3 linked regions of the Arabidopsis thaliana genome follow. The protein of the gene in region 1 purifies or fractionates together with the protein of each later gene. This does not show direct contact. Each region holds a gene or a part of one and is shown in the gene's direction. Other genes may lie near its edges. The genes, in order: AT1G07750, ACO1 and ACO3.

Region 1 (8,413 bases):
ACCTTCTCTTCTTCCTCTAATTGCTTTTCTCCGTCACTGAGTACCTTGCCTCTCGAGCTCCCAATCTTAAGGTACAATTGATCTTCACTATAGTCGTTCAGAATCTGATCTGCTTATAGAAATATTCAGAAGTGTGAGATAGCTGCTAATTGGTCTTTACTTTGTTTTTTTCTCTTGCTTCACATCAGAAAATTTAGGATCTTAGAGCTTTTCATAGTGAACTTAAGAACGCTTTTCGAATTAGTCAGTCTTAGCTCTATTTTGTCTGTGTGTGTATTTTCTGGACACAAGACCTTTGTTTCAATTTCTATAAGTGATTTCGGTTTACATTTTAAAAGCTTGATTTATTCCCATTGAAATAAATATTCATGATGAGTAAATCTGTGCATTTGTATCAAATTTTTAGTGCTTTGCAGATTTTATTTTAACGCAAGCTCTTGTTTGTTGTTTGACTTGTTTAGTAGAGGATTGAGCTTAAGGCAAGATGGTAAGAATCAGTGTTCTTAACGATGCTCTCAAGAGCATGTACAATGCTGAGAAACGAGGCAAGAGGCAGGTCATGATCAGGCCTTCCTCCAAAGTGATTATCAAGTTTCTGATTGTCATGCAGAAGCACGGTATGATTATCCCACCAGATTTTATATAATAGAGATTCCTAAGATTCTCGGATGTTGTTCCTTAAATTATGTGGTTACCAATCAAATGCAGGTTACATTGGTGAGTTTGAGTATGTCGATGACCACAGATCTGGCAAGATCGTCGTTGAATTGAACGGAAGGTTGAACAAGTGTGGTGTTATCAGCCCACGTTTTGATGTTGGTGTCAAGGAAATTGAAGGTTGGACTGCCCGTTTGCTCCCTTCTAGACAGGTTCGCTCTTCTTATAAACTTTCTAGTTACAGTGGCCTTATGAATTATAAGATCAAGATTTGGAAATGTTTTTGAATCACTTTGCATACTGTCCCGAAACATCAATAGTAGTAGCTTTGTTTAATGCTCGCTAATGGTATTAATGGATTGAAGCTATTAAATTGTGCAGTTTGGTTACATCGTGCTGACTACATCTGCTGGCATTATGGACCATGAAGAAGCTAGAAGGAAGAATGTTGGAGGCAAGGTTCTCGGCTTCTTCTATTGAAGTTTTATTTTATGGGGAAACAGATTTTCATTGAGTTATTTTTAACTTTTGTCCTCCATTTTCTCTGAAACTACCTTTCTCTTTCTTTCGAATTTTGTGATAACTTTGATGGATAGTGTTCTGAAATCACTCTTTTTGGTTTGGAGCCCTTTTTTAGACTTCGGATGCACTCGTAAAATTATTCTAAAAATCTCTGATTTGGCTAGTCTCTTACCTTCTCTTTACCGGCTATAATCTCTAAGTTGCGGATAATGCTCTAATTAGTCATACGAGTTCATGTATCAAACGACGTCGTAATAACTCGGAACAAAATCATTGTTGATCTACATCATATCATCTACATTGAGGCTTAAAACATCATATCAATACCTTAGGATCATTTAGAATTCTTAGAACTGATTAACTGTAGATGAAATCACAGCAACGGATTAATACAATATGCGGTTATAAGTAAAAAGAAATAAGAAGCAAAAAATACTGACAAATCATAGTTGTTATATCATCAAGAAACGTGGAAAACAAAAGAAGAAGAAAAAAACTCTTCAAGAACCAAATGCCAAAGGAACATAGTTGCCCAATTTCTAACTCTAGTTTTCACCCATAAAATGGATCACACCTTATTAGAAAATGGTCTTACGGATCACACTTCCTTCTCCAGCCAAATATGGCCCCCGTCTCATCTCATCTCCGGCGATGGGAGCTCGAAAGTACCTTCATGTATTTAGATATGTAAGAGATAAGAGAGGAGAGAGGAAGGTTTGATGAGGAGCATCCATTGTTGATGGTCTTTTCGACCTTATCAAAGGAGAAGCCAAGTGAGAGAGACGTTTCATTTTGGGTTTATAGACCAAAAAAGTGGTCATTTGTGAGAGTATCTTCGAAAGCATATGCTTTGAACCATTAACTAAGCTGACCTGAGTCCCATTATTACTACTTTTGATTTTCTTCTTCTTTTTTCTCTTTTGTTAGTATATTAAAATCTATTTAAATTATTGAGGCGAGTAACATGGGTTGCTTCGCCACAAATCAAAAGTAGAAAAAAAGTGAGGTCCTCTTTTCTTCGCCTAGTTGTTTCTCATTGGACTGCTTCCAACTCTTGTTGGTTCTGTCAATTTTACGAGGTTACCAAATTTGGTTCAGTTTTGTGAATCACTTGGGAATTAGGTTACGTTGGTATTCTTCTGCGTTTATAAAACGTGCCTATGATCTAAGTAACTACCCAAGTCATTGTCTCCAGCTAGTGGAAAGCGACACGTTACTGATGTTAGAGTTGATATGATTTGCATATTTTCTTGTTTTAAAGCACATTTTGTGTTTGTGTTTACAATTTTACATGAAACGAAATTAACATTCCACCAACCATCAATTATACAAGTGCTATTAAATACAAGATTTAGGTCAGCTGTCTAATGCAATGGAACTTAGCAGCAATTTTGAAAAAAAAAATATGGTACTAATAGCATATTGTTGTGATAAATATTACTATCTGATCATCACAGTCATTCAAGTGGCTGTAGTTTAGTGGTAAGAATTCCACGTTGTGGCCGTGGAGACCTGGGCTCGAATCCCAGCAGCCACACTTGTTTTGGTTATTTTTTCATTTTTATTTTACATGGGCATGTGATTAGCTTTCTGCTAAAGCCCCTTAAGATAAATGACACTGATGGGCCTAAGTATTTTCTCTCGGGGGGATATAACTAAGCGTTATGATATATATTTTTTTGTTTTTGTCATCTAAGCGTTATGAATATGCAAGTTAGATATAATAATAATTAGGCCAAAATTAATTACATATTTATCCATGTTAAACTAATCCTTAATAACAGCAATTCTTTCAACTTATCCATCACGTTGCTCGTTGGATTAAATTAAAATTATAACAGTCTGTTGCTACTTATATTTCTGGATAAATCCTTTACAAAATTAGAGAATATACAATCCTGTCAGCAGATCCCATCCTTAAAAAATTAGCAAAAGAAATATAAAATCAGCGATTACCTTAGATAAAAAAAACATACGATTTTTGAATTCATCCTTTAATTTTATCTTTAAGGTAACAAAAAAAGGAAAACATAATCTTAAAATCACCAAATTGGAAAGAAATATGGTGACATAATTGAGAAAATATTTACAACAAATATTCTGATGATTCGATTTGACCAAATAATACAGCACTTTTAGTAGATTTATTTAAATGTCTCAATTAGTATTTGTTTATGAAAAAAAAACGAAGAACGTGATGGATTAACAAAAATTATCTCCTCACAAAGGAATCTTTATTTGGTAGGCAAAATATAAATTATATCGTGGGCATAAAGAAATGGATAAAATTTGGATTAAAAACGTTAAACAAGAATTATCCACAAGTAAATCGTAACGCAATCAAAACGCCGAATCAGTCTCTCTATTAGTAACGGATTCACCCTAAGCCTCTCCTATATAAATACGTGTCGCATCTCTTTCACATTTCACATCAAAACTTACTACTTCTTCTTCTTCTTCCTTTACCAAATCTTTTCTTCTTTACTCTTTTTCATCGTCGAGAAAAAATGGAGTTGGATCTTACACCTAAGTTGCCCAAGAAGGTTTACGGAGGAGATGGTGGATCTTACTCTGCCTGGTGCCCAGAGGAGTTGCCGATGCTCAAACAGGGTAACATTGGAGCCGCTAAGCTTGCTCTTGAGAAGAATGGCTTCGCTGTCCCTCGTTACTCTGATTCCTCTAAGGTCGCTTATGTTCTTCAAGGTTCGTTTTTTTCTATAAAAGTTTTCTACTTTATTGCGATCCATGCGTTTTTGTATAATGGGTTTGTTCGATTTCATCACTCTGCTTCTTCTTTTGAGGGTTTTTGATCTTTTCTATGTTCTGATCTTCTTTATTGCTTTAAAAGTTGTCAACTTTATGGTAATTCATGCACTTTGACCACTGTGATTAGGTTTATTGTGATGCTGATTCTATGATCTGATTTTTGTTGTAGAAAGTGAAAAATATGATAGTCAAATAGATCACGACTACTGTGTGCAAGAAAAAAAAGTAGTCTTTAGCTGTTTTTGTTTTGCTTAATCACGTCTTAATCGTTGATCTGATCAACCTCGCGTGTAAGGAATTGAAAGCTTGTTTATTTGACTCTTTTTCAAATTTCTGTTTCAGGATCTGGAACTGCTGGAATTGTTCTCCCAGAGAAGGAGGAGAAGGTGATCGCAATCAAGCAAGGTGATTCGATTGCTCTTCCCTTTGGTGTGGTCACATGGTGGTTCAACAACGAGGATCCTGAGCTTGTTATCCTCTTCCTTGGTGAAACCCACAAGGGTCACAAAGCAGGGCAGTTCACTGAGTTCTATCTTACTGGCACAAACGGTATCTTCACTGGTTTCTCCACTGAGTTTGTTGGCAGAGCCTGGGACCTTGATGAGAACACCGTGAAGAAACTTGTTGGTTCTCAAACCGGTAATGGCATTGTGAAGCTTGATGCGGGCTTTAAGATGCCACAGCCCAAGGAGGAGAACCGTGCTGGGTTTGTCTTGAACTGTTTGGAGGCTCCTCTTGATGTAGACATCAAGGATGGAGGCAGGGTCGTTGTCTTGAACACCAAGAACCTTCCTTTGGTTGGAGAGGTTGGCTTTGGAGCTGATCTTGTTCGGATCGATGCACACTCCATGTGTTCGCCTGGTTTCTCTTGTGACTCTGCTCTTCAGGTGACTTACATTGTGGGTGGAAGTGGAAGAGTCCAGGTGGTTGGTGGTGATGGGAAAAGAGTTCTTGAGACCCATATCAAAGCTGGTTCTCTCTTCATTGTTCCAAGGTTCTTTGTGGTTTCTAAGATTGCTGATGCTGATGGCATGTCTTGGTTCTCCATTGTCACCACTCCTGAGTAAGAACTTTTCTCTGCACTTTCCTTTTTGAGGTTTGAAATTGAAAGAAACTAATATGTTTGAAACTTTTTTCTTGTGTGTTTGTAGTCCGATCTTCACACATTTGGCCGGGAATACATCGGTGTGGAAGTCTTTGTCCCCTGAGGTTTTGCAGGCAGCGTTTAAGGTGGCTCCGGAGGTGGAGAAGTCCTTCCGATCCACGAGGACTTCATCAGCCATTTTCTTCCCTCCTTCCAACTGAAGAAGGAGAAGAATGAGAACAAGAACCAGCTTTTATCTTTTATCGTTTGTTGCTTTCCCTCAGAGATTTTTGAGGGTTTTTACTTTTCTTGTGATTCAAGGAAGTTTCTTAGTCTAGTTGTTTAATTCTCTTCCTGCCTTTTCCCCCTGGACCGGTTCTTGTTCTCGTTGTTTTAAAATATTAAAAAATCAACCTTTCCTATATTTTACAGTCTTCCTTCTTTTCAACTTTTGGAAAAATTGAATCAAAAGAAATTTGTCTTCCTTCAAATTCTCACTTTCATATTAAACTTCAGAATTTTGATGGTTCAAAAAGAAATTCCAATTACTGTAAACAAAAATTCCAATCAAACGAACACTATATTGAAAAGTAAGTTCATGTAACGATGACTGATAAAACATTACAACATGTGATTTTGATGACATGAAAAGTAAGAATGGTTTGATAACTACTATTAAAACCTTTGACAAACAGGAACAGGTACACCACACGCTTCTAAAACTTGTTTAGCAGATGTCATATATGGAGCAATCAATGGGTTTTTCAAGTACTCACAAAAACACGACTTTTTATCTTTCAATTTTGTGCAACATTTTGTCGATGGTGGGGTTTCGCCTATTATATCTGGTAGGCATGCTTTGAGATCTGTCACGACGCATGCCGCTTTCTCCTCTGCTTTGGTCGGAGCCATTGACGAGAGAACAAACGCAACGAAAACTAATGTAGTGAACTTCATCTTCATGTCTTGTAAGTTGTAACCTTAAGTTTCTCCTTCTATCTAATTTCTAGTCTTGCTTAGAAAATGCTTGAAATAATCGATTACGAGATTTGTTTAAGAATGGAGTAATGTTTTGCAGTATAGGCTGATGTGTGTGTTTTAGGTATATATATAGTGTCGACTGTCTTTAATTGTTGATTACTGGAATTAAGCTAACAAATTTGAAAGCACTGCCTTTTATAGAAACTGGAAAGATTTAATTATAGGAAATGAATCAATCAGTTCACATGTGTATATACAGTTTGGAAATGTTCGAAAATACATATAGAAGTTTGATATTAACAAATGATTTCAATCAATGAAAATCTTCAAAGATTTAATATAAATAAAATTTCTTTGGAAAGTAATTAAATAGGAAAAAAAAAATAAGAGATCTGGAAATTTATAAATTTATTTGGTTTAGGTTAACTGAGTATCGGTTTAAAATTGAGGTGACCAAGGATGTTAAAATGGGCTAAAAGTTTAGGGCCGGTCCGGATCCGTTGAAAAATATAAGCTCTGGGCCTGATAAAATTGAATGAGAGATTTTCGGGCTAAAACAAGGCTGGCCCTATTTGCGGTTTTCAGATTGGGGTAAACCGGGATTAAGAGTCTGGGTCGTGAAAACGAACCGGAGGCTAATTGGATTTGTTCTTCCTTCTCCACATTCCAATTTGAGGGCAGTGGAGGTGTAACAACAATGGCGCCTCTCAAACATCTGGAGAAGGAAAATCCAATCATCGACGCATGTTTCCAAGATTTCTGCGCCTCTCATGGAATTTTAACAAGTTGTGTTCTACATCTTCTCTTCTTGTATCTCGTTTTCTCGTATCGATTCTATTTGATTTCTCCTGTTTGCCTGCAAAAAAACGACTGTGGTTGGCATATGAACATGAGAAACACAATTGCTTAGTCCAATTACTGTAAGTTCACTTTAAAAAGTTTTGAATTCTGGAATCTGGATAGTGCGCTGTTTGATATTTGATCGTTTAAGCTAAAGGTGTTCGACGAATTAGATTTTTGTAGTTATAGAGTCGGATTCGGTTTGGAATGTTTGTGTTGATGGCTTTTCTCAAAATTGCAGTTGAGGATTTCCTTCTGCATGATCTCTACGAACTTACTGCATTTTCTCAACGGCAGACAAATGCAGATAGATTGAAAGAGGTTTTTAGCTTTTTACTTAACGTTACTGTCGATTTTTGAGGTTTAATTGTGTGTGTGCGCTCAAAGGTATGTGACATATGTTTTCCTTCGGATGCTTCAGGGTATCACTCTCATCCTCTCTTTGATAGAACGTCAGTGTCGGCCATTGGTGAATGGTTTAAAACTGTTGGAGGATCTACACCGTAATAAACATACTCTGTCGACTGGAGACAAAGAGACGGACTCATTGCTTCAAGGTGGATTCCGTGAGGGTCAGCTTACAGAACTTGTCGGACCTTCCTCTTCTGGGAAAACACAAGTATGTATTTTCTGTTAGGCATTTCACTATTCATGTTTTTGTCTTGTCTTCTGTGTGAAAATTATTCATAGATAATCGTTTTAAATCTTTAGGAATTGTAGATTGTTTCATTCAAACAAAGAGACTGTTCCTAGAAAAAAAGTGTTGTCTTTGCTTACCCTTTTTTTGTGCTCTCTCTTTACATTGTGTGATTTCTTATGAATGACTAGTTTTGCATGCAAGCTGCTGCAAGTGTAGCAGAGAATCATCTTGGCAGAGTCTTGTATTTAGACACAGGGAACTCTTTTTCTGCCCGACGCATTGCTCAATTTATCTGCTCCAGTTCAGATGCTACTTTAGGGCAGGTTTATTTATTTCTTGTACCCTAGCCTATGACCCAGTTCTTTAGTCAATCACCAATTATTTATGTTTTTAATCTTATGGACAAGAAACGTATAAGTGCAGAAAGTCATGAGCAGAATATTATGCCACACGGTCTATGACATATATACACTGTTTGATACGCTGCAAGATCTAGAGATTACTTTGAGGTTGCAGGTATTAAGCTAGCTAAAAGATGCAATCTCCTCAATGTCACTTTAATGTCTATATTCTTAGTGTTAACCATGAGTTATCTATTTCTTTTCACTTGCAGATGAATGTGAATGAGTCCCGACTACGATTGTTAGTTGTTGATTCAATCTCTTCTCTGATTACTCCAATCCTTGGAGGCAGTGGCTCACAGGGTACATACCCTTGTATGTCTATCACTTTTTCTTCACCTCAATGGTTAACAGTTGTGCGGGTGATTATGAAGAATGACTCAGAAATTGGTGTGTGCAGGACGCGCTTTGATGGTGGCAATTGGATATTTGCTTAAGAAGCTGGCTCATGAACATAGCATCGCTATACTGGTATTAAAGAAGTTTCAGGCCATTAAGCGTGTCCTTGTGCTTTAAAGTCAA
Region 2 (11,762 bases), on another chromosome or scaffold:
AAAGTTGCAGATTCTACCCTACTCAACAGTAAAGTGATATCAATGATCAAATCAATCCAAAGCAGGACAAAAAGCTTCATAAAAGTTTCCAAGAAGTGGAGAGACATTCTTGAAAAGAATCAAGAAATTGTAATAGGAAACAAGAGACCGACCTAAAGCGAAGAAGAAAGTCAAGACCGCCGAGAGAATTGTCCCTAGAACAGCGGAGAGGGTGAAACGACATGCGTCTTTAATCCTTTCGATGAAATTCTCAAGAGAGGGACACGAAGAGATAGGACAAAACCCAGATTGGAATCTAGAAGAGGCCATTTTTTTTTTTACGGAACCCGCCAAAGATTAAAGAGACTCGAAACGATCTACGGTAAAAACAAAAACAGAGCTCAGTGGAGTTTATACAAGAGAAGAGAGAAGGAAGAGAAAGAAGATAGAAGAAAGAGGAGAGATGGGTTTTGCTTAGCCCTTAAGAGAGAAGATCCGATGTCTGGCCTACTTGCAATTAAGTTTTTTAACCTCAAGTAGGTGAAGTAAAATCTAGGGTTTGCCTGTCATGATCTATGTTGAAAACACCACTAATTTTTTTTTAATCATTTCAATGCTCGAAAGATAGAAGCAGAGAGTTATAAAGAAAAGGTTATTTATAGTTTAATAAAATAACTTCTTCGTTTTTTACATAAATTTTTAAAATGTGTTAGATTTTAATTATAAGAAAACTACGGGAGATATTTAGATTGTCTGAATAATACCAAAATATGGTAGGGTCGATCATTTTCGAATCATACAAGCAATCAGAAGAAACAATTAGATACGAAACAGAAATAATTTCTATACATGTTAACTATTTGAGGAAATCTCAAAATCTTATTTTGATTCTTCCTTTCCTTTTATAGTAAGAACCTTAATATGAGCAATACTTTATTGTTATACCAAACTAAAATGGGTACGGTGAGACTTTGTTATTGTGCTATTACGTGCGAGAAGCTGAATGATTACCCTTACCGTTTCTGTATAATTGTATTCCAAGACTCTGTGTTTTTCGATCTCTACAGTGGTAAGCCGATTAATTAATCATTTCAAGAGATAATTAGTTGCAGCGTATGTCTCATCTAATGAGTATTTGCATGATCGGATCATTTATATAACTTTGAAATTTTCATATTTCTTTATTTAGTCAAAATAATAATAATAATATTGTTGATATGTAAAATTTCAAAAGATGGACAGAAATAATGACATATAGTATTTATGTTTACTGAATATATTTGACAAGGCTCTATGACGATTTTTTTTAACATACTGTATTTCTTAAAAATATCTATCTACCTTAGATAGTTGACATGATAAAAAAAAAATATATATCTACCCCAATATATTTCACCTGTATTTTAATTTATAGACATTATGGGGCAATTAATGGTCCAGAAGCTGGTCCCATGAGTGATTAAATTGAAATCTAAGCATTTGCATGATATATAGTTACGTGTCACTTACATACATGTCTTGTATTGTTTAGTTTCACTGCTGAGAGTGAGTTTCTCTATGTACTGTAATGAACTTGGCCGATCGTGTTTTACTAGTTTTTCTCTTGAAAGAAAAATTCGTATTACTGGTACTTGGACTAAAATTTGGTCTCCACACCACTCTCCTCTAATCATTTTACAAACAATTCTATATTTGAGAGAGGATATTATTGAACATGATACAAATTAAATAATATTTTATGAGTACGTATTTGCATCTTGTGAGAAAGAATTAAGTGTTTTCTAAGGGAAATATTAACAATGGGTAAGTGAAAGTAACAGAATGTTTTACCTATAAGGATGTATAATAATATAAAGAGAGAGGAAAAGAAAAAGCCAAATAGACAAAGAAGATATAATTATGATTGGTAGGTTATCTACATGCTGACCAAAGTCACATTTTTACCGGTGGTGCGTCTTTGTGTTGGCGTGATTGATAATTTAACCCGGCCACCACTTGCATCTGCTCCTTAATTTATTTGTAATTGTATGGAAGCATCATCAAATCAACTCCATAAATATAAGATACTTTATAAGCTTTCGTCCATATTAAAATAAACAATTTTTTTTTTTTATAACTTCTTTCTTATTGATATTAGCTTAAAAGATCGTATAAACAAACTTATATACGATCAAACAAACTAAAAAAGAGAGTTCTTTATCAAAAACAAACAAACTAAAAAGAGACGATAAATGAAAGAGATAACAATAGTATGTAATTGTCCTTACATAAAAAAAAAATATGAGCCACGCCAAATCTAAAACGATTTCGTTAAACATATATAGTTCTCGATATTTATCAACAAAGACGATGTAATTCGTAATCTATATACGTACATCTTCTTAACTTTTTTAAAAATATAAAAAGGTGCTTCAGATTCAAGGGACTGAAACTAGTGAGGTTTCTTAAAAGCAGATATATACACTGACCACGTTCAGGTTAATAGTTAGTAGATTTTTAGGTGGATAGTAATATATTGATGGACAATATTTAAATACAGACTATAAAATTTAAGAGACTTGAAGTGTTCCTAAGAGTAAATTTAATTATACATTTTAATCATGGCCTGAAAAACTAAACAAGGAGGGGTAGAATAATTAATCATCTCAGCAGCTTTCCATCTGGACACACCATTCAGCTAAACGACATTGTTTAATCTCTAACCAAACTGGGCTAGACCGAACTGGGTACAAAGATGGGTTAAACTGGGCTAGGCCCAAATTAATCAGAACATAAATTTCGAACGGAGCGACCCATTTCCAAAATAAAAAAATGTTTTTTATATATATATATATATATATATATTTTTTTTTTTTTTAAATCGTTGCATGCAGGTTGGTGGCGATATTTTTTGGTTTTGTCACCAGGTGGTGGTGAAATAAACGACGATCATTGAATATTTTTGGTGTCTTGTATATGTTTGTGTCATTGTGTGTATTTTTTTTTGGTGTGTTGTAACGACGATCATTGATTGTATATGTTTGTCAGAAATTAAGGTTTTTTTAATCAATCAATGCCATGTGAAATTGAGAAACCTTGAAGAAAATTGGATTACATAAAACTAGATACTATAGAGAAGAGGCACATATCAGATTGGTGGATTATAAGTTTGTGAAAATAAAATCATGATTGAACAGATATAATTCACTTGATACAAAAAAAAGCAAAGAATGGATATTCACAAAAAAAAAAAGTTGGATAATTAAGAAAATAGAATATAAAATAAAAATAAAAATCAAACAGCCATCAGTTCTGACGAAAAGAGCCCACCACGGATCTGTCAGATTTATTTCCTTCTTACATATAAAAAAAATCTGAATCGGCTCAGGCTCGTGTAGCCTCACCAACTCCGCTTATAAACTTTCTCTCTTCTGAAAACAGATCTCTCTACTTTGCTTCTTCACTCGACTTGTATCTATCATCCATGGGTATCGATTTATCTGTTTACGATCCAAAATGATTCATGTTTCTTATTTCTTCTTCTCGCCGATGCTGATTTTCCAGCTATTTTTCGTTTTTTTGAAATCTGGTTCTGTATTTTGATTTGCTGTGTGGATCTCTGTTTCTGATGTGTTTTCAGCTTCCGAGAATCCTTTCCGAAGCATATTGAAGGCGTTAGAGAAGCCTGATGGTGGTGAATTCGGTAACTACTACAGCTTACCTGCTTTGAACGATCCCAGGATCGGTGAGTTTCCTTTTATCTCTGATAGATATTATAATATTTTGTTAGAAGACGTTGTTATGATCTCGTTGGTGAGAGTTTTATGAGAGAAATGTTGTGGTGGATGCAGATAAACTACCTTATTCCATTAGGATACTTCTTGAATCGGCCATACGTAACTGTGATGAGTTCCAAGTTAAGAGCAAAGATGTTGAGAAGATTCTTGATTGGGAGAATACTTCTCCCAAGCAGGTTGAGATTCCGTTCAAGCCTGCTCGGGTTCTTCTTCAGGTAGACAATGATTGGTTGCTATACACATTCTTGATGACATAATGATGTTTCTGATTTCCTGAAAATGCTAGAATGTGATATCATTTTTTCTATTTGTTTTTCAGGACTTTACTGGTGTTCCTGCTGTTGTTGATCTTGCTTGCATGAGAGATGCCATGAATAATCTCGGTGGTGATTCTAATAAAATTAATCCGCTGGTTAGTTTCCTCGCTTTTTACTGAGATTGGTTAATGATTTGTGTTCTTTTGGTATGCTATAAGGTTTGATACAAGGCCTTGATAATTGCAGGTCCCTGTAGATCTTGTCATTGATCACTCCGTTCAGGTGGATGTGGCGAGATCAGAGAACGCAGTGCAGGCAAACATGGAGCTTGAGTTCCAGCGTAACAAGGAAAGATTTGCTTTTCTTAAGTGGGGATCCAACGCCTTTCACAACATGCTTGTCGTACCTCCTGGATCTGGAATAGTTCATCAAGTAAGTAGAGGATTCAGGGACAACGGTATTGCTTGGAAACTTAAAGTATTTTTATGCTAAATTCTATAATTTTGCAATTGACAGGTCAACCTAGAATACCTTGCCAGAGTTGTTTTCAACACAAATGGACTTCTTTACCCAGACAGTGTTGTTGGCACAGACTCTCACACCACTATGATTGATGGACTGGGTGTTGCTGGATGGGGAGTTGGCGGTATAGAAGCGGAAGCTACCATGCTTGGTCAGGTAAATCAGATGCTCTTTCGGTCGAGAACTCATAGCTAACTGTCTAACCTCTTTCTGAAACTTTGGTTCTAAACTACATCCTTTCAATAATTCTAATAGACTTTCCATCTCTTTATATGCAGCCAATGAGCATGGTCCTACCCGGTGTTGTGGGTTTCAAGCTAACGGGAAAGTTAAGAGATGGAATGACAGCTACTGATTTGGTCTTAACAGTGACTCAGATGTTGAGGAAACATGGAGTAGTTGGAAAGTTTGTTGAATTCCACGGTACGTTGATAAAAGATTTGATATCATATTTCATATATGTCTCTTATTTACTTACATAGTACCTTACCGAGTTAGGCTAGCTCACATATGCATCGACTGCTTTTTCATACACAGGGGAAGGGATGAGAGAATTGTCTTTAGCTGACCGTGCTACAATTGCCAATATGTCTCCTGAGTACGGTGCGACCATGGGATTCTTCCCAGTCGATCATGTCACTTTGCAGTATCTAAGGTTGACAGGCAGGAGCGATGACACTGTAAGAAAATGCACAAAATGTCACATTTGGGAAAATCTTCATTATTTAGTGTGTTAAAGACTTTCATAATGGTATTGATTTGTGAATTGGATTGCAGGTCTCCATGATAGAGGCGTATTTACGAGCAAACAAGATGTTTGTGGATTACAGTGAGGTAAACCTTGGGCATCCTTAATACTTCATTTCTTATGCCTATTGTCATATATCATATTTGCATAACATATGCTTCACTTGGAACTTGTTGCACATCTCAGCCGGAGAGTAAGACAGTTTATTCCTCATGTCTGGAATTGAATCTCGAGGATGTGGAACCTTGTGTTTCTGGTCCCAAGAGGTACTATTAGTGAATGATTCGACAGAAAATTATCTAGGATCCATTCTACTTACAATGTCTATTCTCTGTGCACAATACAGGCCTCATGATCGTGTTCCTTTGAAGGAAATGAAAGCGGACTGGCATTCTTGCTTGGACAATAGAGTAGGATTCAAGGTTAGTACTCTCCTTTCTGTTGAGAAGATGTGAATGCTTGCAGTCCCGAGAGCTTAATTTGTAGGAAATTATGACACCTCTAGCTATTGTTACTGTAATTTTGAAAGAATGGTACGTATTCGAGTCTTTAAGCGGGTCCAATAAACTAACTTGTACGTTCTGCAACACTTCTGAATTTATAACCTACTTCCATTTTTTCAAAAATAGTGGTTAGTGATACTACTTATCCATGATTTTCCAGGGTTTCGCTGTACCTAAAGAAGCACAGAGTAAGGCTGTAGAGTTCAATTTTAACGGGACCACAGCACAGCTTAGACATGGAGATGTTGTTATAGCAGCAATCACCAGTTGCACAAATACTTCAAACCCTAGTGTAATGCTTGGCGCTGCCTTAGTTGCAAAAAAGGCCTGCGACCTAGGACTGGAGGTTTGACTACTTGTGTGATAGTGATTTAATATCTTTATGTGCAATGGAAATAATAGAAGTGTTTGAAATTTCTCAATTATTAGGTTAAGCCATGGATCAAAACTAGTCTTGCTCCAGGCTCTGGAGTTGTAACAAAGTACTTGGCAAAGAGGTGCTGCAGATACACCGTTGAATGTTTTGTTATTTATTTCCTTATCCTTTGTATTGTGTGGTCCTGAGTTTTCAAGTCTTGCAGTGGCTTGCAGAAGTACTTGAATCAGCTCGGCTTCAGTATCGTTGGTTATGGGTGCACCACATGCATTGGAAACTCGGGGGATATCCATGAAGCTGTGGCTTCAGCAATAGTTGATAATGGTAATTCCTTAAGTAGTTAATGAAGTAATGCTTCTTCACTTGAATTTTCGAAGGTCAAACTAAAAGATTTCTCATATATGTACAAGACTTGGTGGCATCCGCTGTGTTGTCTGGGAACAGAAATTTTGAGGGACGTGTTCACCCGTTAACAAGAGCTAACTATCTAGCTTCCCCACCGCTTGTTGTAGCCTATGCTCTGGCTGGAACTGTATGTTAATGCTAACTCTAAAGCCATTTCACAACATTCAAGCATTCTTGTTATATGAAGCACAGAATCATTCACATGAATATTCTTGTAGGTTGACATTGATTTTGAGACACAGCCCATTGGAACTGGGAAAGATGGAAAACAGATATTTTTCAGGGACATTTGGCCCTCTAACAAAGAAGTTGCTGAGGTAAATATATATGGGCTACTTGTGTAATACGTAAACAATGAGATATTATAAGTGGAGGGGATGCCAAATTCTCTGTTTCGATTTTTCAGGTTGTTCAATCTAGTGTCCTTCCTGATATGTTCAAAGCTACATATGAAGCAATCACCAAAGGAAATTCCATGTGGAATCAGTTATCTGTGGCGTCAGGTACTCTCTATGAGTGGGACCCGAAATCAACTTACATTCACGAGCCGCCTTATTTCAAGGGCATGACCATGTCTCCACCCGGTCCACATGGTGTGAAAGACGCATACTGTTTACTCAATTTTGGAGACAGTATTACCACTGATCACATCTCACCAGCTGGTAGCATCCACAAGGACAGTCCTGCGGCTAAGTACTTGATGGAACGAGGTGTGGATAGAAGAGACTTCAACTCATACGGGAGTCGCCGTGGTAATGATGAGATTATGGCGAGAGGCACTTTTGCAAATATCCGTATTGTCAACAAACACTTGAAAGGAGAAGTTGGTCCCAAAACAGTTCACATTCCCACTGGAGAGAAGCTTTCTGTTTTCGATGCTGCCATGGTATAATCTCACTTTTTTTTTTATCCTTTTGAAAACATCAAATTCAAGCTCTTTGGTCATGAGGTTGGGGTAGGATTACGATAAGCTTTGAATAAGCACTACAGCTCTACTCTTAGCTATAGGTCTACTGTATCTAGCCTAGGACTGAATGTAGTAGATTAGAGCTGTTGTGAGTTGGTTTATAGAACAGTTAGTGAAGGCTGAGGTAATAATAATGTCTCAGCAGATTGTCTTGGGGGTGGAAATTTTGTTGTTTGATTCTCTGATTTGGTCAGTTGGAATTAGAATAGCAGTTCATAGCTTTGTTTTAATCAGATTATTCTCTCCTCGTGCTGTACCAGAAATATAGGAACGAGGGACGCGACACAATCATTTTGGCTGGTGCTGAATACGGTAGTGGAAGTTCTCGTGATTGGGCTGCCAAGGGTCCAATGCTTCTGGTACATTTTCTGTATTTAACAAACACGTTCTTACACTTATTTTATGCGGTTTCTTTAAAAAATTGTGACAACAGGGTGTGAAAGCTGTGATTTCAAAGAGCTTCGAGCGAATTCACCGAAGCAATTTGGTGGGAATGGGAATCATACCTTTGTGCTTCAAGGCGGGAGAAGATGCTGAGACCCTTGGCCTAACGGGTCAGGAGCTTTACACCATTGAGCTCCCAAACAATGTTAGTGAGATCAAACCAGGACAAGATGTAACAGTCGTCACAAACAATGGCAAATCTTTCACATGTACACTCCGATTTGACACAGAGGTAAGTTATCTCTAGATGATATATTTTCGTCTTTTCGTCTTTGAGTTTTTTTTTTAGCTCTAAAACAAAATGAGATGAGATAAGTAAGAGGAATTTGGAATCGACAGGTGGAGTTGGCTTATTTCGATCACGGAGGGATTTTGCAATACGTTATCAGGAACTTGATCAAACAATAAATCTGGTAACACCAGAGACTTGAGTTATATATCCCAAGGTTTGTTGCAATAAAAATGTTTGCAGGGAGGAGGACGAGAATGACTTTAATTTAAACTTTTGCTTTTGTTCTTCTTCGTCTCTTGCTTCGTGCTAGTCAATTGGAAACATTATCACTGTCGAGTCATTTTTTTTCTTTCAAATAAACATGCGAGCTCTTTTTTTGTTGTTGTTGTTCATAAGCATTGTCAATGCTGCATTGATAGAAGTATACTCTACCATTAGAAAATAAACACAAATACACAAAGTAATCTAAAGAGCTAGAGGATGAAAATTATCTTGTGAAGGTTGTACAAAAACATTAAAAAAAATCTGAGATGATCCAAAGGATTGATTATCACATTCGAAGTGATGGTCAGAGATTACCTCTTGGAATGTTGTGTAGAGTTGATGAACTTATGAGAGCGGAACCATTTGGTTGATGCCCACTTGGTTCCTTTGATTACTGGACTCCCACCTAAATCAAACAGACAAATTTTTGAGAAATTTGTTTTACATCTCATGATCTCAAACAAGTTATAATTAAGGGTTTATTACGATTTAAAACAAGTTTAGAGAAAGGCAATGCCTCTTACCATGCTTACTCGAAGGGTCTCGAGACCCGTCGGGTCTCATGCTCCAAAAGAGTAAAGCGTCTCCCTTCTTCGGTCTAACAGAGACTCCTTTTTTACTTTTAATTCCTTTGGCTTCAGGGAAAACTGTTTCGCCGCCTTTATCAACATCCGAGCTAATTAGTCATACGATGAGAAAAGAAAACAAGATTAACTTATGCAAATATTGTAAAATTTTTACATGGCTGATGAGAAAGATTATAAAGGGTTTACATACAGATACATAAGAACCGTAGCAATTCTTTGAAATCCGTCAAAGTGAGGCTCAAATTTCTGCCCAACTTCATAATTGATAACTTGAAGCGTTTCTCCGTTTTCTGCACATAAATTACATAAAACTTCACAATAATGTAATGATCTTAGACCTTGTTTGGTAAGAAAATCCAAACTATGGCCAGTTTAAAAACAGAAGCCACATACCTTGAGGAATGAAGGTGAATTCTGAAATCCTTTTCTCAATCTCTTTGACGATTTTGTCATGTCCACTTCTAATAAAAGTTCCTGAACTCGTCCGTGAGCTGCACATTAACATATTTCCAAATCTCAAATCTTTCCAAACTAAACTTAATTAAAGAGGGAAAATCAAATGAAAATAGAGTACATAACCTGCTTTCTTCACCAAGTCCAGTTAACGCATTGCGCACCTTGGACCTCGCCATACTAGGTTTCGCGAGGCTAATCAAGTGATCACATTCTTCGTTTGTCTTACAAATTTTAAAGAAGAGAGCCTAAGATCAAATCCTAAACATTTGCATATAAATCATGAGAGAAACATGTGTTCCCTAGCTATATATGCGTGTTTACTGGAGGAGTGAAAGAGAATTACCAAGAAATTATGGTAAACAAAAGCTCTAGGCTCCTTCGTTATGACTTCGAGCCAACGCTCGTTTGGAAAGCGTAACGAAGCAGCAACCTTCACCATGCTACAAGTAAGTGTTGTTAACAAAGGGGACAAAGAACACAACAAGATCATGTCCTTAGTTTTTTCCTCAATTTTCACATCCACGGACACTTGTTCACCGACTAATTCATCGAACGTGTTGATGTGCTGTATTAGATCTGAAGTTTCATATATCTTCAGCCCCTGCAACCTCTGCCTCAGATACAGTATGGTAGACACTGACGTCGACTTAGACATTGCGTTCACAAGTGAGTCAGAAAATATACATGAACTCGTAACAAAACTTAGAGAGAACACGAATCTAGGGTTTTCCTTTTATGAATTGTGTGAGTTCATAAAATACAAACTCTAATATATATTTTTTTGCCGTCTGATCCTCCTTTTATACAAGTCCAAAGAACAAAAATAAATAAATCAATACAACTAGAATATGAAAATCATTGGAAAAAAAACTAATAATGAATGTCAGCAAGTAATAGAGTGACACCTGTCGGCAAGTTATTTTAATTTTCATTTTTGTTATCATTATGGTTTTGGTCAATTTTATAAATGATGACTCTTCACCTCATGTATGCAGGTGTATATCTTGTGTTTATCAGTGGATTAAATACATTTGCAGCTAGGTAAAATATCTCAACAGTAGATTGTTGGAAAGAGTTCAACTCATAAGTGTGGTGTGGAATAAAACAATTATCGTACTTGAAATAGTCTAACTACTCAACTGTATATTTATTTGTTTGTTGAATATACCGCAAGATAATAAAATTTTAACAGTGTTTTTTTTTTTCCTTCATACTAAACACGACAAAAGGAAAAAAGTTCGTGTACATAATTATATATTATGTGTATCAATAAGATTTTAACTTAAATGCCATAACGTGATTTTGTTGGTGTAGCGTTTGAGAGCTCCTGAGAGACGTATCAGGATGAAATTGACAATGATACACACATATTAGTACATGTTGGTGAGATCATAGAGACCTGCCAAAGACGACAGAAACATTGAAACAATCTTGAGACAATACAAAGCTTTCATCACTAAAGTGAGGTTTAAGAGCTTTACATCTTCAAAAGCTATCTATCTTCTTTTTTATTCAAGTCAATTGTACTCGTGAACGTGAAACCATTTAGTTGATGACCACTTGTTTCCTTTGATCACTGGACAACCACCTATACCAATCAGAAAAGATTTTGAGAGGTTTGGTTTCAGATATCAAATGGGTTCCTTGAGATTTAAAAAAGTTTCAAGAAAGACACACCATGCAAACTAGAAGGGTCTAGAGACGCGTCAGGCTTCATGCTCCAGAAGAGTAAAGCGTCTCTCTTCTTTGGCAGAACAGAGAGTCCTTCTTTACCACATTGTGAGAGCTCGTCCCACCATGGGACATCACTAACGTTTCCTTTGGCTGCAGGGAAAACTGTTTCTCCGCCTTCATCGACATCCGAGCTAATAAGTACAAATCAAAGAAAGAAGATTAACAAACACATTGTGGCTAATAAGAAAGATTATTGTAAGGGTTTAAAGGCTACACACAGGTACATTAGTACTGTAGCAATTCGTTGCCCTCCTTTCCTGACATTGAACTCATCAAAGAAATAGTCATGGTGAGGCTCATATCTCTGCCCAACTTCATAATGAAGAACTTGCAGCCCCTCTCCATTTTCTGTAATTCCATTACATTAACTCCACAATGAGTTCCAAGACAGAGAAACCGATATAAACATTACCTGGAGGAATGAAGGTGAAATCTGAAATCCTATTCTCAATCTCTTCCACTATTTCGTCATGTCCTCTGTTAAGAAAAGTTCCTGAACTGGTTCGTACTCT
Region 3 (11,574 bases), on another chromosome or scaffold:
TTGTAATTGTAGCTTGAACAAAAATTTCATATAAAAATTAGTCTTAAAATATATACTTAAAATCTATGATTATTAATTTATAATATTATTGGGACTATAATTTTACATAGGGATTTCAAAAAAATTATTATCTTATTATCTTATCGATTTTGGTTAATTTTTACATTGTCCCGACTTGAGACTTGCAAAATTTATTAATTTATCGTGTTTATTAATTTATCGAGTATTAATTTATAGAGTTTCTATTGGATAGAGTTTTTAGACCGAAAAAGAAGAAAGACGATTAAAAATGAAGAACGGTTTGATAACAACCTAGCTATTTCTAGATCTACTAATCATATATTTCCTGAGAATACCCTAAGCTTGACGCTTTTATTATCTTAATTTACATCCTCATAATGTATTATTTGCTTTCTTGTTTTATTTTATTTTCTTACTTATTTGTTTAGCTTATTCGAAACTATTAGTCTATTGTGTGATTCGAGAGTTTTGTGGAATTCGACCCTAATGTACTACAATCGATCTCTTATTTGAGAGAGTGGTCTTATAATTAATTAGACCTTCATTTCCAATACGTTAGCCACGAGAGCATAACTGAGGAAGTCGTGGAGAATCTTAGGATGAGATTTGTTGTCGACATCTATCAGGAGTTTGTTCAGGCTCTCCGTGTTTGATGCCCATTTCAATATTTTTGTTTAAGAATTTATGTCTTTTGTAATTTTTATTTATTCTACTTTGTTTTCTACTTAGATGCCACTTTATTTGTAGTTCTATAACTCTTATCTTTGTATGTAGTCTTAATTAGCACTAGATTTTAACCCGCGGTACTATATTTTTCTAGAAAAAATCAAACTGTAATTTTCTTAATTAATTAATATTATTATATAACCTATTGTTTTGTATTTTTCTCAATGTACAAAACTATATGATGTGCAATTTTTTTTTATTAGTAAATATAATAATATTAGATTTCATAATTTTTTATTTAGTATTAAAGTTAATAATTTTTTATTAGTGCTGGAAAAAAAGAAACTGAGGCTGATAAAATATTAAAATTACATTTAAACCGTGTTATTACTTTGGGTTGATGATACTATAAATTTGTAATAATATCAATCCAAACCCGTCCCATCATATAACTCTAAATTGATATCATTAAGATTTTTGGGTTAACATATTGAATATTTTTTCAAAACTAATTGACATTGCCAACATAGAAACATTAAAATCGAAATTACAGTAAAATGGTAACTTTTTACTCGATATCACAAAATCCAGTAGATAATATTCAAGAAAATGAAACATGACCACTTTAACTTTTTTTTTTTTTTTATAACACGATGACCACTTTAACTTTTTTTTCTTTATGTGAGAATAATACAAAATAAACCAAATAAATAATACAAAATATGACCATAATATCAAACCTTGCACGATTATTTGATAATGTGATGGTTTATTTGAAATCTACATATACATTTTTGCAGCCACTTTGTGAAATAAATCTTCAAGTTGAGACTTATTTACAGTGGCTGCCACCGGCATTTAATAATTGTTTTTGATAATTAGAAAGTAAATCTTCGAATTAAATATTTGCATTTAACTACCTTTCCAAAATCTCTCTGCATTAACTATACGATTAATTACTAAAATAAAATTTCCAAAATATTTAATATCATTTAAATACTACAAAATTATCATTTTTGATATTGCTTTTTTTTTATGACTATAACAATTCGATTATAAGCAGCAAACCGTAAAGATATTTGATAGCAATTAATTACTACAAAATTATAAAATATTTAGACAATGATTCATAAACATATCATAAATAAGATCAACATTAATAAAATAAATAGTTTTTTTTACGAGACGGGTTGGCGGGACGGGTTTGGCAGGAAGCTACTTAATAACAATTGTAAACTATAAAATAAAAATATTTTATAGATAGATAAAATTTGTAAACTTTTATATATACTAACTTTAAGGAAATAAATTGTCTCCGCGGTATACCGCGGGTTAAAATCTAGTTAATTAGTGTTATCGACTCATGATTAAATATATAGAATTGATATAAACTGAACAAGATTTCAAAAGTATTCATATGAAAAGAATTAAAAAAAAAAGCATAAATTAAAGCAGTATTTAAGTCAATACTTTTAGATCTTCTCTCATTGCATATATCAATATAAGAGAAATGATCGTGTATTAAATTATTTGGTAAGTCTAACGTTTTAAAGGTTTATTATTTGAAAAAACTTGAGTGTCAATGTTATCAAAGACTCAAAATAAAATTACTAAACTAATAAGAGGTTAGGTAACGAACAAGTACAACACAAAAAAATTAGTAAAATAAAAAGAGTATAATAAAAGTAGTGCTTAATTTATTAACATAATTTTTTATTTTATTTTTATCTTGAAAAAATCAATTAAGAGTAGGATTGATGATACATTTAATTTGCTTATTTAATATGATTAATATTTTAATTTAAAAAATATAGAATGACACATGTCATTTTTTTGTGTGATGATGTGTCATTCATATGGAAAGAGTTGGCCAACTTTCATATATATGATTAGATTTCTAAATGATCATTGCCGTAATATTAGTAAAGATGTGTCCAGTGTTTTAGCAATTTTTACCAAACTAATTTTGATTTACATCTTTAATTAAATATTTCATTTATTAATAATTAATGTCAATAGCATGACATTGTAAATAAGTTCAAGTACAAGATTTATTTGTTAAAGTAGCTGAAAAATGTATATGTAGATTTTAGATCTCTAAATAAGATTAACATAAGAAATCTGTATCGGTCTAACTAATGATGAATCGCGAAGGACAACGTTAGAAAACTAATGACGAAAATATGTTCATGAGAATAATATATACTAAACTAATAAGAGGTTTGGTAGCAAACAACTACAACACAAAAAAAAGTCATTATCTAGTAGTGATTATTGATAATAAAAATTTAATAAAATAAAGAGTATAATGAAAGTAGTGCTTAATTTATTAACATAATTTTTTTTTATTTTATTTTGAATCAATTAAGAATAGGATTAATCATACATTTAATTTTAGAGTATTTATAATAAATGACTATAGATTTGAAAAGAATGTACAAACTAACCTTGAGTCACAGTATCTTGTCGGAAACATGTTGGAGAACACTTGTTATTTTCTCTTATTACATAGTATTTATAAAAAGCACATGCTATTTTTTGGAAAAAACATTGTATTCAGTTTAATATATCTTTTTATCATGATATTTTGTAGTAATACACGTTTTTTATTGAGATCACACGTGATTTCTTTAAAAATATTCTTATTTTTTAGTAATACATGGTTTTTATTAAAATCACATATAATTTTTGTTTTAAGATTCTGTTCATGTAAAAGAATTTCATAATAATGTTTTAAAAAAAAAAATTCATAACGTATTATGAAATAGCATGTTTTTAAACTAAATATAACATGTGAAATTTTAATGTTACATGATATTTTGAAAAATTACACGGATGTGTTTCGTTTACTTTTCATCTTACAACAAATAAAGGATAGCTTTATTATTTCCTTTCTTCCGACAACGTGGGTCCATGGTTATTTTGTAACAAAAAACTTTATCTCTGCTAGTTTCTTAATTTGTATGTTTTATTTGGTTATCTACTAATATTACCTTTAATTTTATTATTTTTTAAATTTAAAAATATAGAATGATATATGTCAAACTTTTGTGTGATGCTTTTGTGTGATGGTGTGTCATTCATATGGAGAGTGTTGACCAATTTTCATATATATATGATTATATATTAAGAAACTATATATTACGTTGTCTTTTTCAAACAGGTAAAAATGTTATGAGATTTATTTGATTTTTAAGTAATTATTTAAATTAAAATAAATAAAAATATATATTATTTTAATAATAGGGGCTAAATAGAAATTATGTGGAGGAGAGGGGCTGCGTAGATTAAAATCCAAAAAATACCGTAAACAAAAAAAAATATTCCCTTGCGAGAGAGGGAAGATTGACTTATTGGCACGCAGCCCTAGGCATTTTCGTTTCGTCTCCACACGCCTCTCTCTCTCTCTCGCTTCTTCAATCATTCATCACTCCGACGTCAGATTCAAAATCCTCCATGATCGATCCCAATTGATCAATCAATAACCTTATCTTCTTCATCTTCTCTGTCAGTATCTGAATCTGCATCTGGAAGCGTGATTTCATCATCATGTATTTAACCGCTTCATCTTCCGCTTCTTCCTCCATCATCCGAGCTGCTTCTTCTCGCTCTTCTTCTCTTTTCTCTTTCCGATCGGTTTTATCTCCCTCCGTTTCATCTACTTCTCCGTCGTCTCTTCTCGCTCGTAGATCTTTTGGTACCATTTCCCCTGCTTTCCGTCGCTGGAGCCATTCCTTTCACTCGAAACCATCTCCGTTTCGCTTCACCTCTCAGATCAGAGCTGTTTCTCCAGTCTTAGATCGTCTCCAGAGAACCTTCTCTTCCATGGGTAAAATATCTCGATCTGATTGATCTAGCTTGAGTTTTTTATTCCGATCTCTGTTGATTAGTAGTAACTGTTTTGTGATTATGATTGTTTCAGCGTCAGAGCATCCGTTTAAAGGGATCTTCACTACACTTCCTAAGCCTGGTGGTGGTGAATTCGGAAAGTTCTATAGCTTACCTGCTCTTAACGATCCACGAGTTGGTATGGATTTTTTGAATCTCTCTTTGAATGAGTTTATGAAGGACCTGAGAATCTGAAGAGGAGTGTTGTATTTGCAGATAAACTTCCTTACTCTATTAGGATTCTGCTTGAATCTGCGATTCGTAATTGTGATAACTTTCAAGTTACTAAGGAAGATGTTGAGAAGATTATTGACTGGGAAAAGACATCTCCTAAACAAGTAGAGATTCCTTTTAAACCAGCTCGTGTTCTTCTTCAGGACTTTACGGGAGTCCCAGCTGTTGTTGACCTTGCTTGTATGCGTGATGCGATGAATAAGCTGGGAAGTGATTCCAACAAAATCAATCCCTTGGTATGTTTTTGTTTGCCACAGATTGATGCTTTTTGTTTAGGTTAGGGTTCTTTTAGATTTCTTATGTTATACTGTGTCTCTCAGGTTCCGGTGGATCTTGTGATTGATCACTCGGTTCAAGTAGATGTAGCTCGATCAGAGAATGCAGTGCAAGCAAACATGGAGCTTGAGTTCCAGAGGAACAAGGAGAGGTTTGCTTTCCTTAAATGGGGTTCTACTGCGTTCCAGAACATGCTTGTTGTGCCTCCTGGCTCTGGTATTGTGCATCAGGTAATTCTCTTTTTTAAAGTGTGCGAGTCCATAAGTTGTTTCTAAACTTGTTCTGACATTGATATATATCCTTTTCAACCTCATGTTTCCAGTGTATTGAAATGTTTCTTTTCATTTATTATCTTCTTTTATCTGTCTTGAAGTTTGTCTCAAACTAACCTCATCTTGAAAATTCAGGTCAATTTGGAATATCTTGGAAGAGTTGTGTTCAATACCAAAGGCCTTCTCTACCCAGACAGCGTGGTTGGAACTGATTCACATACAACTATGATTGATGGTTTGGGAGTTGCTGGATGGGGTGTTGGGGGTATTGAAGCTGAGGCAACAATGCTTGGCCAGGTAAATTATTTTGATTATTTACATGACGCACATCAGATGTTGGTTAATCTGGAGTCAACTTTACTGAATTTTAGATTAGATCACTATATTTTATGACTCTTCTGCTCCAATACAGTGAGGTTTGTGAATTTTTCTTATACTGATAACGCTTTTTTGGTTTGACAGCCCATGAGTATGGTATTGCCTGGTGTTGTTGGATTCAAACTTGCCGGAAAAATGCGTAATGGTGTAACAGCTACTGATTTGGTTCTAACAGTGACTCAAATGCTGAGGAAGCATGGCGTTGTTGGAAAGTTTGTTGAGTTTTATGGTAATTATATCCTTGTGAGCTCTTAAGTGTTTTGCTCTTTTATAATAGACATGTGTTTGTTGGAGCATTATAAGTCTACTTTTTTCTTCTTAGGTAATGGCATGAGTGGGCTGTCCCTAGCTGACAGGGCGACAATTGCCAATATGTCTCCCGAGTATGGTGCAACCATGGGCTTCTTCCCTGTGGATCATGTTACTCTACAATATCTCAAATTGACTGGAAGAAGCGATGAGACAGTGAGTGTTTGACTTTAATCTTCCTTCTATATATATTCAGATATCTGGTCTGATACAATACTTTCATGGCAGGTGGCTATGATTGAAGCATATCTTCGGGCTAACAATATGTTTGTTGACTACAATGAGGTAAATTAGCCTTATACTTTCTTTCTTTTTTTGTTTCTTAATCTCCTTTCAGGTTTTTATTTGACTTTGCTTGTGAATAAATTTCAGCCTCAGCAAGACCGGGTTTACTCGTCATATCTAGAACTGAATCTGGATGATGTTGAACCTTGCATTTCTGGACCAAAGCGGTATGGGTTCTGTTGGTTTTTGTAATCGCGAAGTTTATTGTCTGAATAATTGGTCATGACCATATTATTGATATCTTCTTTGCAGGCCACATGATCGTGTTACTTTGAAGGAAATGAAAGCTGACTGGCATTCATGTCTTGACAGTAAAGTTGGGTTCAAGGTATGTAACTGGATGTTTCACTTTGTGGATGTCTAATCTCTTAACCATTTACTCGTTCTATAGACTGGGTTGTTGGTGCACATTTTGGAAATCAATGTTTATTTCTGAATATTGCTATTCATTCTCCGCAGGGTTTTGCTATACCTAAAGAGGCACAAGAAAAAGTGGTAAATTTTTCGTTCGATGGACAACCAGCAGAGCTTAAACATGGAAGTGTGGTGATTGCTGCAATCACAAGCTGTACTAATACATCAAATCCCAGCGTCATGCTTGGTGCTGGTCTTGTTGCAAAGAAGGCTTGTGACCTTGGGCTACAGGTTGGTTTCACGAGAGCAAACTAGAAATCTATCTGATGCCTCGACATTTTCTGATCCCTTTTTCAAAAACTTGCCTCTGTAGGTTAAGCCTTGGATAAAGACAAGTCTTGCTCCAGGCTCAGGAGTTGTTACAAAATACTTATTAAAGAGGTATGTCGTATTTTTATCTAGTTCTTCGTTGTTAAAGGCTAATTCTTTCTTATGTGATGGTAAATTTAAGTGTAACATCTTACTCCATGCAGTGGATTGCAAGAATATCTGAATGAACAGGGTTTCAATATTGTCGGCTACGGGTGCACTACATGCATCGGGAATTCTGGGGAAATTAATGAATCAGTGGGAGCTGCTATTACCGAAAATGGTATTATTGAGATTCCCAACTAAACTTACTTTGGACTTTCCATCCTTTATATTACTATTATATATAAGTAAGTAGCTGATTTGTTTTCAATATTTGTGTTGCTTGGTTTTAGACATTGTGGCGGCTGCTGTGCTATCCGGTAACAGGAACTTTGAGGGGCGTGTTCATCCACTAACAAGAGCCAATTACCTTGCATCTCCTCCGTTGGTGGTTGCCTATGCTCTTGCTGGCACGGTAATAAATCTTGAGAACTTGTCAAAGTTCAACTTACATTTTGTATGAGATAATGACACATGACTGATTATCACATTGGTAATTTTGGCGTTCTTCTTTCTTATTTTCCAGGTTAACATTGACTTTGAAACGGAGCCTATTGGCAAAGGAAAGAATGGCAAGGACGTCTTCTTAAGAGATATCTGGCCAACCACGGAAGAAATTGCTGAGGTATATACGACTTAACCAGAGAACAATAACATCTTTTTTATACACAAATATTAAACTAATCTTTTGACATATGGATCAGGTTGTTCAATCCAGTGTTTTGCCTGACATGTTCCGAGCAACGTACGAGTCAATCACCAAGGGTAACCCCATGTGGAATAAGCTGTCTGTTCCTGAGAATACCCTCTACTCATGGGATCCCAACTCAACTTACATTCACGAGCCTCCATACTTCAAGGACATGACCATGGATCCTCCTGGTCCACACAATGTGAAGGATGCTTACTGTTTACTCAATTTTGGGGACAGTATCACCACTGATCACATCTCACCAGCTGGAAACATCCAAAAGGACAGTCCTGCTGCAAAGTTTCTCATGGAGCGTGGCGTTGACCGTAAGGACTTCAACTCATATGGAAGTCGCCGTGGGAATGATGAAATAATGGCCAGAGGTACTTTTGCTAATATCCGTATCGTTAACAAGCTCATGAATGGTGAAGTTGGCCCTAAGACTGTTCACATTCCATCTGGAGAGAAGCTCTCAGTCTTTGACGCTGCCATGGTTTGTATTTATCTAATTAAAATTTGTATTACTGACTGTATGTTGATCATGTCGAATGTCTCCTTATCATAATGTCAAATGTATCAGAGGTACAAGTCATCTGGTGAAGACACAATTATTCTGGCTGGAGCTGAGTATGGAAGTGGTAGCTCACGTGATTGGGCTGCCAAGGGACCCATGCTACAGGTTTAGAACCGCTTCTCTAGTTTCTTTCCGCATAAACCAATCTTACTGTTTTATTCTGAAACAACAAGTTTGGGATTGTCAGGGTGTTAAAGCGGTGATTGCAAAGAGTTTTGAGAGGATTCACCGAAGCAACTTGGTGGGAATGGGAATCATCCCATTGTGCTTTAAGTCCGGTGAAGACGCAGATACTCTTGGATTGACTGGTCACGAACGCTACACGATCCATCTCCCAACCGATATCTCAGAGATAAGACCTGGCCAAGATGTTACCGTCACTACCGACAACGGAAAATCTTTCACTTGCACAGTCCGCTTCGACACAGAGGTAACTAAATACTCCAATCTTTAGTGAAAAAAAGCTTTTCAATGTGAAGGAACTAATAATGGTAAAATAAATGTGCAGGTGGAATTGGCATACTTTAACCATGGAGGCATACTTCCATATGTTATCAGAAACTTGAGCAAGCAATAGTGAAGGAAGCAATACACAAGTTATGGAGCAAAATAAAAGAGTGTTTGTTTCTGTTTTAAAATGTCTTTTTTAAAAGGCAGATAAGTCTGTCTAGGATTAGGTTAAAAGGTGAGTGATCTCATGCAATATATGAGTTTCAGTGGGTTATTCTTACACGCTTAGGCTCCCATGTTTCGCAACTTGCAAGAGTTGAATATTATTGTTTTTGAAAAGGAATAAGAGAGCCTTCTTGCATATTCCCATTACTGACTCCCAAAGACCTCGCAATCTGTTGCATTTCACAAGCGTATTCAGCAGCATCTATACCAATTCTCAGATCATGTTCAAGAACACCTGCTCTATTCAAATCTACTTGCACCATTAGAGTAACCAACTAATACATAAGAAACACAAACATCTTGCAGCTGAAGCCTAAAACCAATACAAGAATCTGATAAAACCAAACTGAAACTTGTCATAAATTCCATATGAACCTGAGAGTAATCTCCTGTGTCTGAATGAAGTAACTTGCCAGCATCTTCTTCCATATGAACCCTAGTAATACCAAAATCTCCTATGTCCACCACCAAACTCAAGAGGAATATCCAAATCTGATAACCTTGAAGAAGATCTGGATAAAAATACTGCTTCCTATCGAATTTAGACTTAAGAGACAAATCACAATTCAAAGCTAACCCCAATAACCCACTTTTTTAATAGATTTCCTTTCTTTCTTTCTGATCCATCTCGTTTACTTTGCTATAAATAAGAGCTTTGGTAAGCCAAACCTTCTTGTCTTCTAAGTGAACTAGTCTTGTCACGAGCTTCTTCTAGATCTTGTTTCAAAAGTTTGTTTATACCAATGGGTCCAACAGAGCTTAGAGAGGCTAGAATAGAAATTACCAAAGATTTTATAAAGAGAGCTGCTCTAAGGATTCAGCGTGAAAATCGGCGAAGGAATGATCCAGATGAAGATAAAAATGCTGAGACTAAATTGGCTTTAAAGCATTGTAAAGACATGGTTCTTGGTTCTAGTAAATTTGGGGATGATCGTCCTCTTACTGGTTGCTCCTTATCACGAGATGGAAAAATACTCGTCACATGTTCTCTTAGTGGGGTTCCTAAATTGTGGGAGGTGCCTCAAGTTACAAACAAGATTGTTGTCTTGAAAGGTCATAAAGAACATGTAACTGATGTAGTGTTCTCGTCTGTGGATGATGAATGTCTAGCAACTGCTTCTACTGATCGAACTGAAAAGATATGGAAAACGGATGGAACACTTCTACAAACTTTTAAAGGTCATTCAGATCGTCTTGCACGCATTGCATTCCACCCGTCATAGTCGTAGTGTTGAGATGCCTCCGGACAACGAGTTTTGATAAAACATGGAGATTGTGGGATATAAACATAGGAGTTGAGATGCTTTAACACAAGAAGGTCATAGTCGTAGTGTCTACGGAATTGCATTTCAACAAGATGGATCATTAGTAGCTTCTTCGGGTTTTGATTCGCTTGCAAGAGTTTGGGATCTTCGTACGGCTAGGAATATTCTTATCTTCCAAGGACATATCAAACAGGTTCTCTCGGTGGATTTCTCTCCTAATGGTTATCATTTGGCATCTGGTGGTGAAGATAATCAATGCCGTATTTGGGATCTACGGATGAGAAAGTTGTTGTATATTATACCAGCTCATGTGAACCTCGTTTCTCAAGTAAAGTACGAACCACAAGAACGCTATTTCCTGGCTACTGCCTCACACGACATGAACGTTAATATATGGTCAGGTAGAGATTTCTCGCTTGTTAAAAGCTTAGTAGGACATGAGTCAAAAGTCGCATCTCTTGATATCGCTGTAGATAGCTCGTCTCGCAAGTGTTTCGCATGACCGCACCATAAAGCTTTGGACATGCTGTGGGAATGATGAAGATAATGGGAGAGAAACAATGGACATAGAACTCTAGTTTGTTTTTGAGTTATTTACATTTTACACTCTCACATACTTTTTCATCTTTCATTTTACACTCCCACACTTTCATCTTCCAAAACAATTTTTTTCCTGTGTTATTACCGAAACGCCCCCAACTACATACCATACACTTTTATCTTTCAAAAATAACGGTCCTCTTTTTTTTTTTCTCTCTCTCATTCTCTCTCTTATTATTATTTTAGTTACTTAATATAAAGTGTTTTGTCTGTTTTCTTATATAATAAATCAAGAATTCATTTTTCCTACATTTTAAGATCCATTGTTACTATATTTTAAGTAAATAATTATATGACAGTTTATCCATTTCCGATCGAACATTTGTTTACTATTAAATGGATTTTAAAAGGTACTTGCACAAATATACTATACCGATATTTATAACTACTGATCATCCAAACATGTGAAAGAAAGTGAATGCAAAGCTTGAAAAAACAAAAATGCAGATGTATTAATTCAAGCGTTCTGATCTGATCTGATTCAAATAAAAGAGAAGAACATGACAAGTAAGATGTCCATCAAAGATTGTATATATGGATGATGGCAAGTATGTTGACTATTCAGTGTTATTAAGTATGTTTAGTGAACTTGATCTAAGCAATATCCTTTGACCA

What was found.
Region 2: the proteins of AT1G07750 (region 1) and ACO1 fractionate together in Arabidopsis thaliana (co-fractionation; one large-scale study listed by BioGRID). This does not show direct contact.
Region 3: the proteins of AT1G07750 (region 1) and ACO3 fractionate together in Arabidopsis thaliana (co-fractionation; one large-scale study listed by BioGRID). This does not show direct contact.

What each region holds. Positions count from the first base shown.
Region 1 is NC_003070.9:2,401,137-2,409,549, reverse strand, and holds AT1G07750 (RmlC-like cupins superfamily protein), read left to right. Parts: upstream 1-3,500; 5' UTR 3,501-3,686; coding exon 3,687-3,882; intron 3,883-4,287; coding exon 4,288-5,008; intron 5,009-5,096; coding exon 5,097-5,250; 3' UTR 5,251-5,558; downstream 5,559-8,413. Other genes in the region: RPS15A (ribosomal protein S15A), read left to right, coding at 485-617, 709-869, 1,039-1,137; AT1G07747 (Bifunctional inhibitor/lipid-transfer protein/seed storage 2S albumin superfamily protein), read right to left, coding at 5,705-5,992; RAD51D (DNA repair RAD51-like protein), read left to right, coding at 6,708-6,795, 7,092-7,171, 7,272-7,469, 7,679-7,813, 7,914-8,006, 8,104-8,194, 8,292-8,362.
Region 2 is NC_003075.7:16,969,630-16,981,391, reverse strand, and holds ACO1 (aconitase 1), read left to right. Parts: upstream 1-3,230; 5' UTR 3,231-3,442; coding exon 3,443-3,446; exon of another isoform or gene 3,447-3,598; coding exon 3,599-3,703; intron 3,704-3,809; coding exon 3,810-3,970; intron 3,971-4,074; coding exon 4,075-4,167; intron 4,168-4,258; coding exon 4,259-4,444; intron 4,445-4,528; coding exon 4,529-4,690; intron 4,691-4,812; coding exon 4,813-4,957; intron 4,958-5,071; coding exon 5,072-5,214; intron 5,215-5,311; coding exon 5,312-5,368; intron 5,369-5,468; coding exon 5,469-5,548; intron 5,549-5,628; coding exon 5,629-5,704; intron 5,705-5,945; coding exon 5,946-6,131; intron 6,132-6,214; coding exon 6,215-6,282; intron 6,283-6,366; coding exon 6,367-6,485; intron 6,486-6,571; coding exon 6,572-6,693; intron 6,694-6,784; coding exon 6,785-6,883; intron 6,884-6,972; coding exon 6,973-7,452; intron 7,453-7,793; coding exon 7,794-7,892; intron 7,893-7,966; coding exon 7,967-8,209; intron 8,210-8,316; and 3 more. Other genes in the region: AT4G35840 (RING/U-box superfamily protein), read right to left, coding at 153-309; AT4G35820 (2-oxoglutarate (2OG) and Fe(II)-dependent oxygenase superfamily protein), read right to left, coding at 8,963-9,149, 9,251-9,350, 9,454-9,551, 9,640-9,761, 9,860-10,171; AT4G35810 (2-oxoglutarate (2OG) and Fe(II)-dependent oxygenase superfamily protein), read right to left, coding at 11,034-11,104, 11,194-11,381, 11,469-11,598, 11,663-11,760. UniProt on the Arabidopsis thaliana protein: Catalyzes the isomerization of citrate to isocitrate via cis-aconitate. Contributes to oxidative stress tolerance. May have a role in respiration.
Region 3 is NC_003071.7:2,137,355-2,148,928, forward strand, and holds ACO3 (aconitase 3), read left to right. Parts: upstream 1-3,974; 5' UTR 3,975-4,236; coding exon 4,237-4,516; intron 4,517-4,609; coding exon 4,610-4,714; intron 4,715-4,791; coding exon 4,792-5,045; intron 5,046-5,129; coding exon 5,130-5,315; intron 5,316-5,492; coding exon 5,493-5,654; intron 5,655-5,819; coding exon 5,820-5,964; intron 5,965-6,057; coding exon 6,058-6,200; intron 6,201-6,272; coding exon 6,273-6,329; intron 6,330-6,416; coding exon 6,417-6,496; intron 6,497-6,581; coding exon 6,582-6,657; intron 6,658-6,788; coding exon 6,789-6,974; intron 6,975-7,056; coding exon 7,057-7,124; intron 7,125-7,216; coding exon 7,217-7,335; intron 7,336-7,447; coding exon 7,448-7,569; intron 7,570-7,680; coding exon 7,681-7,779; intron 7,780-7,858; coding exon 7,859-8,338; intron 8,339-8,425; coding exon 8,426-8,524; intron 8,525-8,606; coding exon 8,607-8,849; intron 8,850-8,927; coding exon 8,928-8,996; 3' UTR 8,997-9,324; and 1 more. Other genes in the region: AT2G05720 (Transducin/WD40 repeat-like superfamily protein), read left to right, coding at 9,838-10,273, 10,467-10,861. UniProt on the Arabidopsis thaliana protein: Catalyzes the isomerization of citrate to isocitrate via cis-aconitate. Contributes to oxidative stress tolerance. Modulates cytosolic citrate metabolism during lipid mobilization. Required during seedling growth.